Linked DNA regions of Rattus norvegicus. The protein of the gene in region 2 purifies or fractionates together with the protein of the main gene of each other region. This does not show direct contact. Links are inferred from orthologs where the notes say so. Each region holds a gene or a part of one and is shown on either strand. Other genes may lie near its edges.

The links.
Region 1: the proteins of Dld (region 2) and Pdhb purify together in Homo sapiens (affinity purification with mass spectrometry; 3 studies listed by BioGRID and IntAct, counting the BioPlex papers as one, with this or other methods). This does not show direct contact. The link is inferred for Rattus norvegicus from reciprocal best matches to the Homo sapiens genes DLD and PDHB.
Region 3: the proteins of Dld (region 2) and Dlst purify together in Homo sapiens (affinity purification with mass spectrometry; 3 studies listed by BioGRID and IntAct, counting the BioPlex papers as one, with this or other methods). This does not show direct contact. The link is inferred for Rattus norvegicus from reciprocal best matches to the Homo sapiens genes DLD and DLST.
Region 4: the proteins of Dld (region 2) and Ogdh purify together in Homo sapiens (affinity purification with mass spectrometry; 3 studies listed by BioGRID and IntAct, counting the BioPlex papers as one, with this or other methods). This does not show direct contact. The link is inferred for Rattus norvegicus from reciprocal best matches to the Homo sapiens genes DLD and OGDH.

The regions. Positions count from the first base shown.
Region 1 is NC_086033.1:19,185,283-19,189,865, forward strand, and holds the end of Pdhb (pyruvate dehydrogenase E1 component subunit beta, mitochondrial precursor), read left to right. Parts: intron 1-46; coding exon 47-332; intron 333-664; coding exon 665-775; intron 776-1,024; coding exon 1,025-1,116; intron 1,117-2,542; coding exon 2,543-2,684; intron 2,685-2,923; coding exon 2,924-3,069; 3' UTR 3,070-3,449; downstream 3,450-4,583. UniProt on the Homo sapiens protein: The pyruvate dehydrogenase complex catalyzes the overall conversion of pyruvate to acetyl-CoA and CO(2), and thereby links the glycolytic pathway to the tricarboxylic cycle.
Region 2 is NC_086024.1:53,638,172-53,642,811, reverse strand, and holds part of Dld (dihydrolipoyl dehydrogenase, mitochondrial precursor), read left to right. Parts: coding exon 1-64; intron 65-438; coding exon 439-582; intron 583-1,285; coding exon 1,286-1,387; intron 1,388-1,488; exon of another isoform or gene 1,489-3,120; intron 3,121-3,241; exon of another isoform or gene 3,242-4,045; coding exon 4,046-4,236; intron 4,237-4,640. UniProt on the Homo sapiens protein: Lipoamide dehydrogenase is a component of the glycine cleavage system as well as an E3 component of three alpha-ketoacid dehydrogenase complexes (pyruvate-, alpha-ketoglutarate-, and branched-chain amino acid-dehydrogenase complex).
Region 3 is NC_086024.1:110,495,700-110,500,339, reverse strand, and holds part of Dlst (dihydrolipoyllysine-residue succinyltransferase component of 2-oxoglutarate dehydrogenase complex, mitochondrial), read right to left. Parts: intron 3,230-4,640; coding exon 3,174-3,229; intron 3,047-3,173; coding exon 2,972-3,046; intron 2,771-2,971; coding exon 2,715-2,770; intron 2,335-2,714; coding exon 2,223-2,334; intron 1-2,222. UniProt on the Homo sapiens protein: Dihydrolipoamide succinyltransferase (E2) component of the 2-oxoglutarate dehydrogenase complex. The 2-oxoglutarate dehydrogenase complex catalyzes the overall conversion of 2-oxoglutarate to succinyl-CoA and CO(2).
Region 4 is NC_086032.1:85,405,025-85,409,664, reverse strand, and holds part of Ogdh (2-oxoglutarate dehydrogenase complex component E1 precursor), read right to left. Parts: intron 1,854-4,640; coding exon 1,699-1,853; intron 1,482-1,698; coding exon 1,335-1,481; intron 704-1,334; coding exon 613-703; intron 133-612; coding exon 1-132. UniProt on the Homo sapiens protein: 2-oxoglutarate dehydrogenase (E1o) component of the 2-oxoglutarate dehydrogenase complex (OGDHC). Participates in the first step, rate limiting for the overall conversion of 2-oxoglutarate to succinyl-CoA and CO(2) catalyzed by the whole OGDHC.

The DNA of each region.
Region 1 (4,583 bases), on a different chromosome or scaffold from region 2:
CCTTGTTCTGTTTAGTCTTTTTAACATCGACTTTTCCATTTGACAGGCTGGGCTGCGGCCCATCTGTGAATTTATGACCTTCAATTTCTCTATGCAAGCTATTGACCAGGTCATAAACTCAGCTGCCAAGACGTACTATATGTCTGCTGGCCTCCAGCCGGTGCCCATAGTGTTCAGGGGGCCCAACGGCGCCTCAGCGGGCGTGGCTGCTCAGCACTCGCAATGCTTCGCTGCGTGGTATGGGCACTGCCCCGGTTTGAAAGTGGTCAGCCCCTGGAATTCCGAGGATGCGAAAGGACTTATTAAATCGGCCATTCGTGATGATAATCCAGGTAACTCCTGCTTCTCTTGAACAGTGAAAGAGCTGACATGAACCATACAAGGAACCATCGAGGCCATCTAGTGAGGCTTAGATATAGCATATGTATAACGTATAAATGATTTATAGACACAAAGATAGTCAAAAATGTAGGGCCAGTTCTTTACTGCATACCTGCACATTTGGCTTAACCTCTACCGACCAGACTGTGTATAAACCATCCTGATGCTTCTAGGTGAGACAGAAACCAGGCTTCTTATTCATAAGATGAGTGGTTTTGTGGTATGTGCATTCATAGTCATTCTGCCTGTACTTTGTTGTTTGAGAGCTTATACTGTCTTGCAGTGGTGATGCTAGAGAATGAACTGATGTATGGAGTTGCATTTGAACTTCCCACAGAAGCTCAATCAAAAGATTTCCTGATTCCTATTGGAAAAGCCAAAATTGAAAGGCAAGGTAAGGACACCTTGGTATTCATGAATTGTTTTTACTGTAGCCCTTTTGTTTGCAAAGGTTAGAAGTTACTGCTATGGAGTTTGACTTGAAAAGTAAAGAATGAATGAGCTCATTGAGTCTCTCTGGTAGGTTTGATTTCATGTCCATGAACACAGCCTCACTGTGCAGCTCACTGAAGTAAGCTGCACGATTGATAAGACTAGCTGTGGCTCCTTACAGCATCGCTAATCTGTGACTGCTTTATTTCAGGGACCCACATCACTGTAGTTGCCCATTCAAGACCAGTGGGCCACTGCCTAGAAGCTGCAGCTGTATTGTCTAAGGAGGGAATTGAATGTGAGGTAAGTGGACTTTCACTGCCCCAACCCCTCACAAATCAGAAAGTCTCCTTTAAGATCCAAGACTGATGAGTTGGCTTAGCAGGTAAAATTGCTGACAATCTTAGGTTTGATTCCCAAGAGCCATAGAGAGAACCAACTCCTGAAAGTTGTCGTCTGCCATCTCCCCCACTTATGCCACCGCATGCTTTCTTTTAAGATTTATTTTCTTACTATGTGTACAGCATGCAGGCCGGAACAGACACAGATCTCACTGTAGGTGGTTATGAGTCACCATGTGGTTGCTGGGATTTGAACTCAGGACCTCTGGAAGAGCAGCCAGTGCTTTTAACCACTGAGCCACCTCTCCAGCCTTTGAATTCTTTGTTTTTTCAAGACAAGATTTCTCTGTGTAGTCCTGGCTGTCTTAGAACTGGGGCTGACTTTGAACTCGAGGTCCACCTGCCTGAGTACTGGGATTAAAGGCATGTGTCGCCACACCCAGCTACAGTGCATGCTTCTGTATGCTACTACACACTCACTGCACTATGTCCAGAAGCTATGAATGGTGATTCATGCCTGTAATCCCAAGACTCAGAAGATAAGTAGAATCATGGTTGCCAGGCCACCTTGAGCTTTGTCATCAGTCTGTCTCTGCTTTCAGCCAAAAGTGGTGGTTGTTTAACCACATAAACTCTGGATCTTTTAAATCCCTACTCTCTCAAGTTATGATCTAATCTTGTTAGGCTGGGGAAATGGCTCATCCAGTAAAGGCTTGCTCTGTAAGCATGAAGACCTGAGTTGGAGCCCTAGCACCCACATAAAAACCAAACCAGAACAAACAAGTCAGGTATGGCAGCATGGGCTTACTACCCAGCACTGGGGAGACCGAGCTAGGAGGACCCCTTGGGCAGTGAGACCAAACTGGAGGGCATCTCTTCTGATTATCTAATCTGTACAACTTAAGTAGCTTTCCTTGGAAAGTATCACTGCTTCATAGGCTGTAGAAATGTGGTAACAGGGATTCTCCTCCATCCTGGGGTATCTGGGTGTAGACCTGGTGCATATTAAGCACTCAACTATATATTGTGATAAGAGGGATATTGAAACCAAGGAGGATAAGTGAATCCTCTAGGTGAGCAAAGCTTCCTGTGATTGGTTGCAAGCTTCTGTTTTAATTGTAAATTCCCCTTTTACTTTTGTTTGAGACAAGATCTCACTGTGTAGCCAACACTGTCCATACTCACACTTGGGGCCATCCTGCCTTAGCCTCCTAAGCAGTGAGCTTACAGGTATGCGGTCGTCATACCTGTACATTTGTGTGCCTTTGACAGATACATTCAAATTTTCTTAGATCCAAAGATTAACAGAAACAAAACGTGGTGTTTTTGGGTCAAGGCTGTATTTGTCTCCTAGATTGTATAAAGACTATTTCCAGCCTTGTCTTTAGGTAATAAATCTGCGGACCATCAGACCAATGGACATTGAAGCTATAGAAGCCAGTGTCATGAAGACAAATCATCTCGTAACTGTGGAAGGAGGCTGGCCACAATTTGGAGTAGGAGCTGAGATTTGTGCGAGAATTATGGAAGGTATTTCAAAGAACCTGGTTTTAGAACATAATCAAGCTATAGTGAGCACTCAACACTTGAATACCAATGAGAAAGAGATCAAAAGCTAGAGATGACCAAGTGACTTTTCAACTTGTCAGTCTAGGGTTTCGTCTTTGGGTAAATGTTTTAAAAAGTCAGGCCAAAAGTGAGCCCTATAACTAGGATACATTACCTTGTTTTCTCTTGCTGAGTCCCCAGTCTGCTTCTCTCTTCCCTAGGCCCTGCATTCAACTTCCTTGATGCGCCTGCTGTTCGAGTCACTGGTGCTGATGTCCCTATGCCTTACGCAAAGATTCTAGAAGACAACTCCATACCTCAGGTCAAAGACATCATATTTGCAATAAAGAAGACTTTGAATATCTAATCTAGACGTTGAATGTCAAGTCAGTGAAATTTATTTAAAATACGTGTTGGGACTTCCCCTGACGTGTACTGGGAGACTTACTAGTCAGGAGTTAATGCTGATGTGGCAGCAGGTGTCTCTGTACTGGTAAGAAGTTTAAATGTGCTTATGAGTAGAATTTTTCTACTCCCTACCCTAGATGCTCTGCTCTCTTTGTCTGTTACTGTTAAGTTGGTCTAGTCTTTGAATAAGATTAATATAAAAATTTGCCCTCTTTCATTAGAAGGGGCAAGATAGAATGCCCCCATGGAAGATAACTTATATGTCTAAATAAAACATATATTATCTACATTTGCTGTTAAACTGTTTTGATAAGGAATAAAGGGGATTCCTACCTATGAGTAATTGCGTTTTTATGTTCATATAGTGTATGTGAACTATTAAGAAATTAGTATCAGGGGCTGGAGAGATGGCTTGGAGGTTAAGAGCACTGACTGCTCTTCCAGAGATCCTGAGTTCAAATCCCAGCAACACATGGTGGCTCACAACCATCTGTAATGAGATCTGATGTCTTCTGGTGTGTCTGAAGACAGCTACAGTGTACTATAAATAAATAAATAAATAAATACATAATAAATAAATCTTTAAAAAAAAAAAGAAATTAGTATCAGGCTGGGTGGTGGTGGCATGTGCCTTTAGTGCCAGCACTTGGGAGTGAGCCACAGGAGGCAGAGGCAGGTAGATAGATTTCTGAGTTCAAGGCCAACCTGGAGTACATTGTGAGTTCCAGGACAGCCAGGGCTACCCTGAGAAACCCTACCTTGAAAAACTACATACATACATACATACATACGTGTCAAATAACTAATATGCTGCATATCATATCTGTAGATTCTGTAGTTTTTTAGAGGATTTCACTGTGTCTTTGGCTAGCCCAGAACTCAGGATCTCACAGATCCCCCTGCCTCTGCCTTTAGAGAGCTGGCATTAAAGGTGTGTGAGGCCCCACCTTGTCCAAATTGAAGCCTTTTACTTCCAGGGCCATGGGCATGTCAGCCAGGGCCCTACTACTGAACATCATCCCTAGACTCTGACTGTTGCATTTATTTATGTCTCTAACATCGCTCAAACAGCAGAGCTGAAAGCAAAAGCTCTCAGGCCCAGGTTCCCACCAGCGACTGTCACTGGTCCACACTGCACCTAATAGCCCAGGTTCCCACCAGCGACTGCCACTGGTCCACACTGCACCTAATAGCCCAGGTTCCCACCAGCAACTGTCATTGGTCCACACTGCACCTAATAGTCCAGGTTCCCACCAGCGACTGTCATTGGTCCACACTGCACCTAATAGCCCAGGTTCCCACAAGCGACTGCCACTGGTCCACACTGCACCTAATAGCTGAGGCAGGCAGGGTCTATGGAGCCCAAATTGGCCTCAGACTGATTATGTGGTAGAGGATGACCCTCCTCCCTGTATCTCAAGTGCTACTGGACGGTGACAGATCAGGGCTTCCTCTATCCCGGTGAGACTCCTC
Region 2 (4,640 bases):
GCAGAAGCGTTCTGCAGTAAAAGCATTAACAGGGGGAATTGCCCACTTATTCAAACAAAATAAGGTTGGTGTTCAGTGCTCAGATTTCTGTTTTATTTTACATATACATGAAATAGTTGTTTTGTGCTAATAGCCATATTTTATGATCTTGGCCTGCTGTGGGATATTGACTTAATTTAAAATAGTACTAAAACATTTAAAAAGTAATGTAATGCATTTATTATTATACAAACCCTACAAAGAGTAAAAGCCAAAAGAAAATCCAAAATAACACTACCCTGAGAAACAGATGTCCCTGAGATAGTATTTTGACTGCTACATGCATTGTATATTTTAAAGGAAACATTTCATGTTCTGTGTTACCTAGAGTATTGTTCCTGTTACTCTTATCAGAAAAACATTTAAACATTGTGAATTTGTAAATATTGCTTTATAAAGGTTGTTCATGTCAATGGATTTGGAAAGATAACTGGCAAGAATCAGGTTACAGCTACAACGGCCGATGGCAGCACTCAGGTTATTGGTACCAAAAACATCCTTATAGCTACGGGCTCAGAAGTTACTCCTTTTCCCGGAATCACGGTATTTATGCTTTCTAATTCATCTCTTACAACCTTCCTTATAAAACAGGGTTTTATAAATTTATCCTGTTTATCAATGTTGACTAAAACACTAATTTGGCAGCCATTTATCATTGCAGTTATTTCTCATTATTTTGCAGTGATTATGATAAGATATAGAACACTTTATAATATATTTGAGTTCACATTAAGGTAAGCTAGGCACGGTGGTGAGTGTCTGTAATCCCAGGATTTGGGAAGCAGAAGCAGGAAGTTTGTTATACGGTCAGTGGTTAACAGGTTTGGAGCCAGGACTGCACAGGAAGACTGTCTCAGAAAAAGCTGGTGAGAGCCGGGCTGATAAAGTACTTGCTGTCCACCTGTGTGAGCACTGGGCATGGTGGGATGGACCTGTACTCCTAGCACAGCTGCTGAAGGATGGCTAAGGTTGACTTTGTGCTTCCACACATGTAAACACATATACACACTTACACAACAACAGTAAAACACAACATAACACAGAGTTAAAATTAACCATTTTAATTTGGAAGGTCGAATGGTAAAATTTCAGAGTAGCATTTTGAGTGAGAGCTAAAGAAATTGTGATATATCTATAGATAACATTAAGCAAATAAATGACATAAAATTTTATTGGATAAGACCAAAATAATAACACACTAGGTTTCCACAAGTAATTCTGATTGTTGTTTTTTCTTTTTTTATAGATTGATGAAGACACTATAGTGTCGTCTACGGGAGCTTTATCCTTAAAAAAAGTTCCAGAGAAGTTGGTTGTTATTGGTGCAGGAGTAATCGGTGTGGAATTGGTTAAGTGTGATCTTCCTTTTATTGCTGCTGTGGGGTTGAAAGGGACTTAAAACTCTTCTTGGAGGCCAGAAAGATAGCTCAATGGTTAGCAGCAGTACTGTTTTATCAGGGGACTCAGGTTCAGTTCCCAGCACCCATATCAAACTTCTCCGAATCACCTGAGCCCCAGGAGCTCGCCACCTGTACCCACATACCCGTCACATACCCACATGCTGCAAAGAAGTAAAGAGAATCTCTCTTTGAAAAAAGAGACAAGATTGAGACAGTTTCAGGTAGTATGTAAAAAGGAGAGATAGCTCAGTGCCTAAGAGTACTGGCTGCTCTTGCAGAGGACCAGGTAAAGTTCCCAGCACCCACAGTGATTTTCAACGCTCCATAGCTCCAGTTCTAGGGAGTCTGTACCCTCTTCTGGCTCTGAGGACACCAGGCATGTACATGGTGCCCAGACTCCATCAGACGAACACCCATCTATATAAAATAGAAATAAGTCTTAAAGCAAAAAAAAATTAAAATAAAAATTGGTCTTAAAGCAAAACAAAACAAAAACCCTACTTGTATTACATGATTTTTTTGTGTAACATTTCAGGTCAGTCAGTATTGAGTTCTGCTTAAGTCTTACAGCAATAACAAATACATCTTTTCTTCCAACATAACATATTTAGGTAAATCATTAGTCTTTAGTATGCCCTTTGTTTTATAGTCTGCTACAAGGTTCTTGTTAAAGTCACAGCCCTCGTCATGAACCTCAGCCTGGCTGAAGACCTTTATTTCCCTAGCTGAGTACTGGTCTCTTCCAGGGCTGCTTAACTCCCCACTCACATTCTACCTGACTGGTACGGTGTCTCTCCTCTCCTCACGTGGAGCTTCCTGAGGAACAAGCAGGAGAAAGCATGGACTGGACAGGACTCCCTTGCCTCGTGCTCATGCTTCAGATTTGAAAGTACCTTTGCCTCACAAGTCTTCTTTTGTTCTCCCTGCTATGGGGAGAATATCATTTTCCCTAAGAGTAATGTCTTCACCTACTGTCACTTTATAGCATGTTCGTCTGCCATCACAGTGACTTAGTTCTGTGATGTTTGTTTCTTTTCTTTAAACTCATCTGCTTTCTACCTGCTGTTCTCCCACTCCCTTTTTTTGAGAGAAGGTCTCATACAGCCCTGACTGGCTTAGGACTGGCTATGTAGATTAGATTGGCCTTGAACTTGCAGCAGTCCTCCTGCCTCTGCCACCTAAGCTCCTGTTTATTTTCCTTGTGATTTATAGTTGAACATGCCTGTTTATACCTCGGTGTCTCACATGTTCAGGTGCATTTCCTTACAGACACATGCTTATATTTATGTCAGTAAGCCTTGTGTGAGCCTTTTCCAAGTTACTAATTTCCTTCTTTCTTTTTTCCATCTTATGCTGGATTTACATATACCTTCTGAGTTACCTTTTTTTTTTAAATTGCATATTCAGATTTCTTTCTTTTATTGAGAATTTCTTACACGCTATTATTTTTATAACATCCACCCTCCATTCTTTCCACTCCAGATTTTCCCCTCTCCCTCCTACCACTTTCCCCTGTCACCTTCATATGTTCTCTCTTTTAACTCAGAGTCCATTTAGTGCTGTGTGCATGTGCATGGGGGTAGTGCTATTTACTGGAGCATGGGTAGTTTTTTTGGTACTCTATTCCTGAAGAAAATTTACCTCCCCAGCACATCAATTGCTAGTACCTTCTCATCTAGAGGTGGGACTTTCTTTTTTTTTTTTTTTTTTTTGGTTCTTTTTTTCGGAGCTGGGGACCGAACCCAGGGCCTTGCGCTTCCTAGGTAAGCGCTCTACCACTGAGCTAAATCCCCAGCCCCGAGGTGGGACTTTCTTAGTCCCTCCCTGTCCTTGCTAAGATATTGGTGGTCTTAATCTTGTACAGATCTTACACACGCAGTCACAGCCACTATAGGTTCCTAGTGTGCGGTAGCCCTGTCGTGCCCAGCAAATACTGTCTGTCTGCTGCCTGTGGCTCTTACAGTCTTCCTGCCCCAGTTTCTGCAGTGACTCCTGAGCCCTGGGGAAGGGACATGCTATAGATTAAGAGTTGGGTACTCCATAGCCTCTCATGTTTTCTGAATACTGACCTTTTGTGTTTCTGTATTAGTTACTGTCTACTGCACAAAGAGGCTTCTGGGATGAAGCCAGTGCAAGATCAACATCATACTTCTTTAATCTTAGGACCCTTGTACTTCTCCTCTGCCTTAGACACTCTCGTCTCAGTCACTGCTGTAGTTGGTTTTCTTCACTCCCACGTAAATGTTACTTAGACGGAAGCCTGCAATCATGCTATCTCAGATGGCCCTGGATCTGTTTTCTCCTCTTTCTTATAGCATTTTGTTATCTTCCAGCATGAAGTTTATATATTGTTGACTTCCTCTACCATATTGTAAAGTTTCCAGGGACACACAATTTTGTTTAATAACAGGCCTAATGGTTATAGTGGGCCTGGTTATAGTAGGTAAATGTGGAATAGATGAATGAATAATAGATAATCTTAAATGAGTTTCCTTTTAAACACTAGAGCTTCCCCTAAACATTTGCAAAAGAAGACAATGTTTGAGGTAATTAGTGAATGTTGCTATGGAAACTTAATGTTTTTTTTTCTTAAAAATTAATTTTAGGGTTCAGTTTGGCAAAGACTTGGTGCAGATGTGACAGCGGTTGAATTTTTGGGTCATGTGGGTGGAATTGGAATCGACATGGAGATATCTAAAAATTTTCAACGTATTCTTCAAAAGCAAGGATTTAAGTTTAAGCTGAATACAAAAGTTACTGGTGCCACCAAGAAGTCAGATGGAAAAATTGATGTGTCGTAAGTATGATGCGTTTGTTTTTGGCAAGCCATCCTTGCTTTCAGATTAGCAAATGTAGTCTAGACTTTTTATAACTTAGAGTCATCTTAATGCTGTGTATTACACAGTATTGCCTATCAAATTAGCCAGTTAAAATTTGTGAATTAGTTGATGCTAAAAAAAAAAAAATCTTACCAGATAGTCTCATTGTGATATATATTTTTCATTGTATATATTCATAAAATTTGAAGCCCCTTGCATTTAGAACAATTCATTTAGCATTTTTGTACAGACCATGGGGACTTTGATGATAGTTTACTTTAATTAATAATAAGTATCTGGCATTCATTAAGTATTTACCTAATTAACAAAGTAACTTCACCTTCAGACAGTCGGTAAGAGGCTTGAGCATGGATCTTTCTGA
Region 3 (4,640 bases), about 57 Mb from region 2:
CATTAAAACTTCAAAGGGGTAGGGTTGGGGATTTAGTTCAGTGGTAGAGTGCTTGCCTAGCAAGCGCAAGGCCCTGGGTTCGATCCCCAGCTCTGAAAAAAAGAAAAAAGGAAAAGTGTAAAAAAAAAAAACAAAAAAACCCAAAAACTACAAAGGGGTTGCAACCAGCTCGAGAACCACAGTTTAAAGCAAATTAAAATGTTTTAACATGTTTAAATGAAAATGTACACATATATGTGACACACTGCTAATCATCTTCTATTTTAACATAACATGTTCAAGAAATACTCTTTTTGTTTTGTTTTTCAAGACAGGGTTTCTCTGTGTAGCTCTGGCTGTCCTGGAACTCTCGGTAGACCAAGTTGGTCTCAAACTCACAGAGATCCACCTGACTCTGCCTCCCGAATGCTGGATCAATGGTGTGCACTGCTACCACCAGGCAAAAGGAATACTCTTAACCATTCGAAATTTTAAAAAAGGGGGAGGAGGGCTGGAGAGATGGCTCAGCAGTTAACACTGACAACCAGCTGTTGACACCAGATGGATCCGATGGCCTCTTCTGGTGTGTCTGAAGATAGCTATAGTGTACTCAGATACATAAAATAAATAATTCTTAAAAGAATGTTTATTGTAGGGGCTGGGGATTTAGCTCAGTGGTAGAGCGCTTACCTAGGAAGCGCAAGGCCCTGGGTTCAGTCCCCAGCTCCGAAAAAAAGAACCAAAAAAAAAAAAAAAAAAAAAAAAGAATATTTTAAATAAATCAATTAAATAATTATTATTAACTATGTATCAGTGTGTATCTATATGAGGGTCTGCGCATTCAGGTACCTGGAGAGGCTCACTGGAACCCGTGGTGCTGGAGTTTTATTCAGTCAATTATGAGATGCCAGATGGCACCAGGAAGTGAACCTGGTCCTCTGAAAGAGCAGTGTCTACTATGAACCACTGAGCCATCTCTCCAGCCTTTGAACTCTTTAATCTTAAATGAGCATTTCATAAAAATGTTATTTTGGGGTCCAGAAAGATGGCTCAGGGGCCCATAGTACATATTGCTCCCACAGGAACCTGAGTTCAGTTCCCAGCATGCATAATGACAGATTCCTTCTTCCTGGCTACTTTACGTTCTTCCCCCTTTCTTTGAACTTACTCTTGCCCTGACCAACCTCAATGGTCAATCTACCATCTTTCTGCTTGACTATTTTAATAGTAAAATGCTCTAACTACGAAAAATCTTCAGTTACAAGTCAGAAAAGCAGATTTTCTAATCTCTAATATTGACTATAAAGTCGAGTACAGACATCTTCCAAAGAGAAATGTCAATTTTCCTAAGAAGTTACATGTGAGAAGAAACTACACGGAAAGGAGAGGATTCAGTGGTAGAGACACAGGATACCAAGTCTGACAACCTGAGTTCAAGCCCTAGTGCCTACATGACAGGAAGAGAAACTGACTGTCCAGTTATCCACTGATCTCCACATGCATGCCTTTGTATACACTCCCCCCCCCCACACACACAGACACACACACAGAGACACACAGAAACACACAGAGACACAGATACACACACACACACACACACACACACACACAGACACACACACAAATGTAACTGTTAAAAAAGGAAACTACTCAATTGTCCACAACACACACCATAAAATTGTAATTCTCACTTTTCAACAGTGGCTCTCAAGCCTGACTGCATGTCAGAATCACTTAGGGGAATGCTACAAAACTAACAAGGATCCAACTGTTATAGTGAGGAGATAAATCACAACTCTCAGGAGCTAAGCCTTTTCATTTGTATTTTTTTTTCTTTTTTCCTGGAGCTGGGAACTGAACCCAGGGCCTTGCGCTCGAGCGCTCTACCACTGAGCTAAATCCCCAACCCCCATTTGTATTTTTTTAAAGCTTCATGTGATCCAGGTCGATGGGAGGAAAATTTCTCTCTTCAGATTCCTGACTTCTGTTAGTTCTTTAAGAAAAAGATCTAATCTAAGAAATAGGAGAAGAACAGAGTATTGTGGGTTTTTCAATTACCCTGTTGGCTTAGAACTTGACAATTAAAAGTTCACCATACATGTCAACGGGATTTCTCCTATCCCTCAACTAAAGGTGTAACTAGGACACCAGTCTGAGGCAAGGGGAGTTGCTAGGACAGTATGCTCAGCCTCAACCCCACCAGGAAACACTGGAGACCTTGACCACCAGAAAAACTTCTTTACCACCGGTTTTCCTGAGTGTGAATAGAGGAGTTCCTCCTTCAACTTTGCCCCCATCGGGTACCAAAAGAGCTTCAATGATGCCATTTGCTGGTGATGGAACCTGCACAGAAGTCTGGAAAAGAAAGAGACAGAGACGGATTCACATTTGTATCAGCATCAGTCAAGCAGGATGAGCAGTGGGAGTTCCAGCTCCCTTACACCTGGATATCACTTCTCCACACACAGAAACACCTAAGGCCACATTTATAAGGCCACATTTCAGTCAGAAAAGAGAGTCATTGCTATGAGAGGGTTCACCTTCTGTCCTTTCTTAGAAATGCTAACACATACTTTAGTTACTATGCTTCCAAGTGATACAAGGAAGAAGACGGAAAGCAGCCCAGGAACCACAAAGAAAACAAAGTAGCTGCCGATTAAAGTTACTAGTGTGCATACTAAGTACCAAGGGAATAATTAAAATTAGGCTGTAGTAAGTCTTTAGGATAAGCCCACCTTGTCTGTCTCAATCTCACACACCACTTCATCTTCTGCAACTGCATCTCCAACAGCTGAAAGACAGTCAAAGGACACCTGTTAGCCAGGAGCCTCTGGTCCCCTTTGAGCCCACTGTGTTAAAAGATCGCTTTCCTACAAGACTGGGAGGAAGTAGATACGTGTGTAAAGAAATGGTGGAGCCACAGTTTCCACTTGTTGTGGTTCATGAGGAGACCTTCGTTTTTTAACTTAAATGAGAGGAAATAAAATCTTACCTTTCTCCCACCTGACATCTCCCTCTGTGACAGACTCTGCAAACGCTGGGGTCTGGACTGTAATCACATCATTCTCTAGGGAAAAACAAAACAGGAAAACCATAAGTGCCCATTCTGTCTTTTTAATGGTTTTCTTTGATAAACTCAGTCAATTGTTTCTCTTTCCAGTAAAAGTCCATTCACAAGAAATCAGGTACTTAACTGCACACTGCCGTGGTTTGGAAGAAGCGAACACTGAAGACGCTACTGTTGTTAATGCTACAAAAGAAACATAAATGTTAACTCTTTTAGATCATGAACCACTAATATTTCAGTCTACTCCAGGTACAAGGGTTACCTCTTTAAACTGGTGAATCTTAAGCAGACTCTCACGCAGGGCATCTTGTCAAAGCACACAGGTCAGGGCAGACCTGGACACATTCTAACTCAGAAGTAGGACCAAAGCATGGTGACCTAGGTGCCTTAAACAGTGCTCAGTACTATAGTGAAATGTCACCTCTCAAGAGTGAGACACGGCGGTTCTACTAAGTAAAAAGAATCTTGGTCCTTTGCAAACTAAACCAAATGATGTTTCTTCCTGATTAGGTTTCTTTAACCAAAACCTCAGCACCACACAGATATGCCAAATACAAATGTGTTACTATCCTCAGGACTAAATTTAGATAAGGCAGCAAAATGACAGTAAACTCAGATGCAAAAAGCAGAGTTTTAGGCCATCCCCCCCCCCCCAAAATTAAAAACAGCAACGAAAACCAAAACAAAGCAAAGCAGAACAAAAACCAAAAAGAGCCAGCTACGTGGTATTTCCTATAACATTCCCTTGTAAAAGGCAGCATATCTGCCCTCCCTGGACTCGCTGCAAAGGAACTTCAAAACCAGGCCGTTAGAACCTGGGACAGTATAAGCTGGAAGCCAGTAACGATCGCCTGTGTGCAGACTTATTAAGTTGCTTCTGGGGAGTGAAGATATTGATCCACCCGGTTACTAAGGCTGTCTGTCATTCAGTGGTTATTTATACTATTTAGGGAATGAGTTAAACTGATGAAAATGTGCTTCTTACACAGGATTTAGGGGATCTCAACAGGTTTTATTTGTTTTGTTTTTCGAGACTAAGTACCACTACGTAGCCCTGGCTGTCCTGGAACTCAATCTGTAGATTAGACTGGCCTCAAACTCAGAGATCTGCGCTGCCTCTACCTCCCCAGTGCTGGGATTAAAGGCATGAGGCATTATACCTCACTAGAATGTCTTTACACTACATAAGTAGACTCAATTGCCTTTTGGCCTTTTTTCTTTTATGTCAGGATAACTTTAAAATGTATATGTGTAGTATCAAGGGGAACAATACAAAAATATAGAACACAGAATGCTGTGTATAAAGTTTGTATACACTATTAGAATGTAATAAAAACATATGTCCATGGGCAAAGACTAATGCTAATGTGGAAAAGAAGGGGTTGTTCTGACAGACGCCTAGGAAGCTGGTGTTGGCTCTGTCTTGGAGGAGGTGTTCAATGTGTAGAAGACAAGGATAAAATATTTACTGCTGGGCAGTGGTGGCTCATGCTTTGAGTTCTAGCACTCAGGAGGCAGAGGCCAGCGGATCTCTGAGTTTGAGGCCAGCCTGATCTACAGAGCAAGCTCCAGGACAGCCTGGACTACAGGGAGA
Region 4 (4,640 bases), on a different chromosome or scaffold from region 2:
TCCCATCACTACAGGGTCAGCAGCCTCTAAGTGGGAAGGGTTAGCCACCAAGGACAGAGTGATGTTTCTGTCGGTCACACGGTTGATCCTTCGGTGATACATGCCCAGGTGGTACTTCATGTCCCCGGAACCCTGAAGATAAAAATGAGAAGTGATGCCAGGCAGTGGTGCACACGCCTTTAGGCCCAGTGCTTGGGAGGCAGAGACAGATGGATCTTTGAGTTTGAGGTCAGCCTGGTCTACATGTTCCAAGACAGCCAGGACAAACAGAAAATAAAAAGACAAGTGATATTGGTTGGAGAGGTTCATTCTCAATGGCAGTACCCATGGGACTTTGACTCCTAGGACCTAACTGTGGAAGGATGGGGAGGCTCTCCCCAATATTATACCTCCCATGCACAAATATAGAGTTACTTGGGCAGAAGGAATATTGTTGCCCCAGCAGGAGGAATATAAGGCTTCACGGTAGAGGAGGTTGGCCAATTCTGATAAGGAAGGCAAACTGTAAATGGTGTGTAAGAGCAAAGCTTCAATTAAGACATTCTGAGAAACCTGGGAGTCTCAAGCAGGCTGAGACGACTGTAGCGGACATTCCTCCTCACAGAAGCTCACCTCATCAGCTGCCTCCAGCTTCGAGTCAAACTGACAGAATATCTGCTCCAGCTCCTTCCTGATGACATTGGCTAGCACGTTCAGTCGTCCTCTGGGACACAGGGAACACTGAGTAAGTTCCAGGGGAAAGCTGCTCCACCCTGCCCCTACCCAGGACACAGCAGCATCTCCTTGGTTTATAGCCCAAGAATGTTGTGATTCAAAGTTGATGTGGACACCAACTCTCTGGCTGTTGGGCATGCAGAGCCATAGCACACAGACAAGAGAAAGGCAGAAAGTACAGAACTACGAGCCCAGCTCCCCGTCTCTCCCAGATCTCAGAGAGCAGTCATTGTTACAAGTGAGACAGCAGCAATGGCACTGGGTTTACTTATGAGACATACTTTTATTCTGTAGTAAAAGCTAGTTTAGAACTTACTGTAGCCCAACATGGACTTCAAATTTGTGATTTTCCTGCCCTAGCCTCTCAAGAACTGAGATTATAGGCACATACTACCATGCCCACCTGGATTTAATTTTAACAAAACTCCTATAGAATGAAATACAAGTGTAATTATATTTGGCTCTGAGACTGACTTTGTAGTCATCCCGACGTGGGAGTGTAAGGGCCTTGGAAAGCAACACATCCTAATACACTCAGGCATTCTCAGATCTCTAGCTGCCACTCCATGCAGGAGCAACAGGGCCTTCTGTCCCTTCCAGGCTCTAAGGGTCTGAAGTACCTGTGTGGCATCCCCATGATCACATAGTCCACTCCATTTGCACTTGACATGTCAATGATTGTCTTGAGGGCAGGGATCAGCACCTCACAGCCTTCCAGACCAAAACGCTTCTCAGAGGACCACTTTCGCTGCAGGAACTCCTCAAACCTGGATGGAGAATCAGTCAACTTGAAGAGCGATGCCTACAGGCCCAGCCTCAGTATAAGCATTCTCCAATGACAAGAGGGTACAATGGAGGCCAACTTTATTCGCCTGGCCAAACCTATCACATACTTGTCGATACAGCCATTCCCATGCCTGGAGGACAGGCGACCAACACCCCATAAGTGGGCCTGGGAGCCCATGGCCCGACCACATGCTTTACCTGGTGGACCGTACAAGCCTGGCCAGCAGGGTCCGCTTCTCCTCATTGGTGAACTGCATGATCCCAGGGGTCTCAAACTTCTGCCGGATCCACTGGCATTGCTCCAAATCGTTAATGAACATGAACTCCACACCAATGTGCTGGCAGTAGGCCATCTGTCCACATATATACAGGGACACAAGAGTCAATGATGAACATAAACTATTCCAGTGTGTCAGCAATAAGCCATCTACCTGTCCACTGCCCTCCATACTGGCAAGGGTATGTTTAACCCAGCCACACTGTGTGAAGATTACCACTGCCCTTTTATTCAGGCCAGGGAGAAGCAAACTTCCTTTTTCCAGCCAAGGTGCTCTGACAGAAGGCAGAAATCAAGTTGTAATCCTCCTGCCGTGGCCTCCCTCGTGCCAGGATAAGCCACACTTAGCTTCTGAGGTCCTTCTAACATAGCCATAACCTTTTCTTAGGACTGGGAACCTGAGGGGTAAGAGGCCAGGCTAATGAACAACAGGTTCATTATTTTCACAGAGGTAGTGAAGACCATGCCAGCTTTTGGACTGGATCCTTTTCTAAGAAAGGTAGGCTGACTTTACAGTATGTCCACCATCCATGAAAAGAAAAGCTAGTGAGCTTGGTGGTTACTTAAAGACTTAAAACCTTTTAACCTCAACTTTCTAATAACGGACTCCTCTGGAAACTTCAGGTCTGAAGAACGGGACAGCTCAGGGAAAAGGACATGACTTCTTTTCTGAGACTGTATAGCTTGGGCTAGCTTCAAACTCACTACGTAGACCAATTTGGCTTCGAACTCACAGAGACTCACTTATCTCTGCCTACCAAATGCTTGGATTAAAGGTATTCATCCCAATAATTTAATAATAATAATGATAATGATGGTGGTGGCATGTGACACCATGCCTGGGTAAAAGCACAGGTCTTGAATAGACCCAATAAGTCTTGAATCACACCTGAGGAAGGAGGTAGCGGTCAGTTCTGCAAAGGTGGAGACCAGCAATAGAGCTGGCTCTTATGGAAAGGAAGTTAAGAAGAGAAGAGAAATAGCCTATACAACTGGAGGGATCTTGTAAGTTCCCCTCAGGGATGCCTAACTCCGGTATTCTCGCACACTCACGCTCCTTGCTGAGCCTTTACCACTTACACAACTAGATTGGAGGCCCAGACCACAGGTGCGCAAGCCAGGAGCGCACTGAACTAGCAAAGGCAACAGCAGACCCTCCACCCCAGCCGTCTTCAGAGCCAGAATCCGAACACAAGCCCAGGGACTCCATCTGGTTTAGACAATGAGGTCAGCTGGCACTGGTAGTTAAAGGCTTGTTGAATTTATGGTCAGGTGTCTGTCCTTTGAACAATAAAACAGACTTTTCCTGAACTTCTGTTCACAATATACTACAGCTTTTGTAGCCAAAAGAAAAATCAAATTGCTGGAAAGACTTTTGAAATTAAAGGTGTTTTTTTTTAATATTTATTTATTTAATGTACACAAGTACACTATATCTGTCTTCAGACACACCAGAAGAGGGCATTAGATCCCATTACAGATGGTTGTGAGCCATCATGTGGTTGCTGGGAATTGAACTCACGACCTCGGGAAGAGCAGTCAGTGCTCTTAACCACTGAGCCAATTCTCCAGCCCCGAAATTAAAGGTTTTAATCAATCTACATGACATTTCTTTTTCCTTTTAGTTTTTCTGAGACAGGGTCTCACTATGTAGGCTTGGTACTTTGCTATTAGACCAAGCTGGCCTCAAGCAGAGATTGTTCTGCTTCTACCTCCCCAGAACTGATGATGTAGCATCTAAGATAATAAGCCTTAGAACTGCTAAGTCAGATTGAGCTACCCTTAGCTTCACAGCTTCACCAATCTATTGTCATGTCTCAGTTCTGCACATGACCAGCAAAATAAGGTGTGCTTCTGTATAACTCAGCCCCAGAGAGGCTATTAACACCAAGTGTCCCACAGGTTCTTCCTGCTACACCAACAACGGGCTTCTCTGCCTCTCACTGCCATGTGGCCTGCTGCTGGGGTAATGCTGAGGACAGAAGACTTCCCTTGGTCACTACTGAGCTGACCCCTGCACAGTCGTCTGTTGCCCAGAGCCATCCATTATGCCCTTTAAGTCCACTAGGCAGAACTTCCATCACTGAACAACTAAAAGCTCAGAGAAAACTACTGAGTCAAAGCCTCCAAACATCAACATTCTCCCTAATTTGTCAGCATTACTTCAGAAATGCAGTTAGACATCTTGTACCGGCTGGTTTTGTGTGTCAACTTGACACAAGCTGAAGTTATCACAGAGAAACGACCTTCAGTTGAGGAAATGCCTCCATGAGACCCAGTTGTAAGGCATTGTCTCAATTAGTGATCCAGTGGGGAGGACCCAGCCCATTGTGGGTGGTGCTGTCCCTGGGCTGGTGGTCTTGGGTTCTATAAGAGAGCAAGCTGAGCAAGCCAGGGGAAGCAAGCCAGTGAGTAACATCCCTCCACGGCCTCTGCATCAGCTCCTGCTTCCTGCCCCGTGGGAGTTCCAGTCCTGACTTCCTTTGGTGAGGAACAGCAATGTGGAAGTGTAAGCTGAATAAACCCTTTCCTCCCCAACTTCTTGGTCATGATGTTTGTGCAGGAATAGAAACCCTGACTAAGACAGATCTGGACAGTAGATAACGTTTTTGTTCCCTCTGTCCTTGGCTCAGTTCTCAGGAGAACTCAATTTGTTTTGGAAAGTTGTGTAAGTTTTGGGAAGTTATGTGAGTTTTGGGAGCTCTTAGCTTTCTGCTCTAATGAAACTAGTTTAAGGAGGTTGAGAAGTGCTACTTCTAATGTTTTTCAAGAGCTACCAGATGTGACAAACAGAGGGAAAAAGGGGAGGGCCCTTGAGCATGCTATGGGCTGTTTACTCCTTCACACCAGTATCAAGATTATT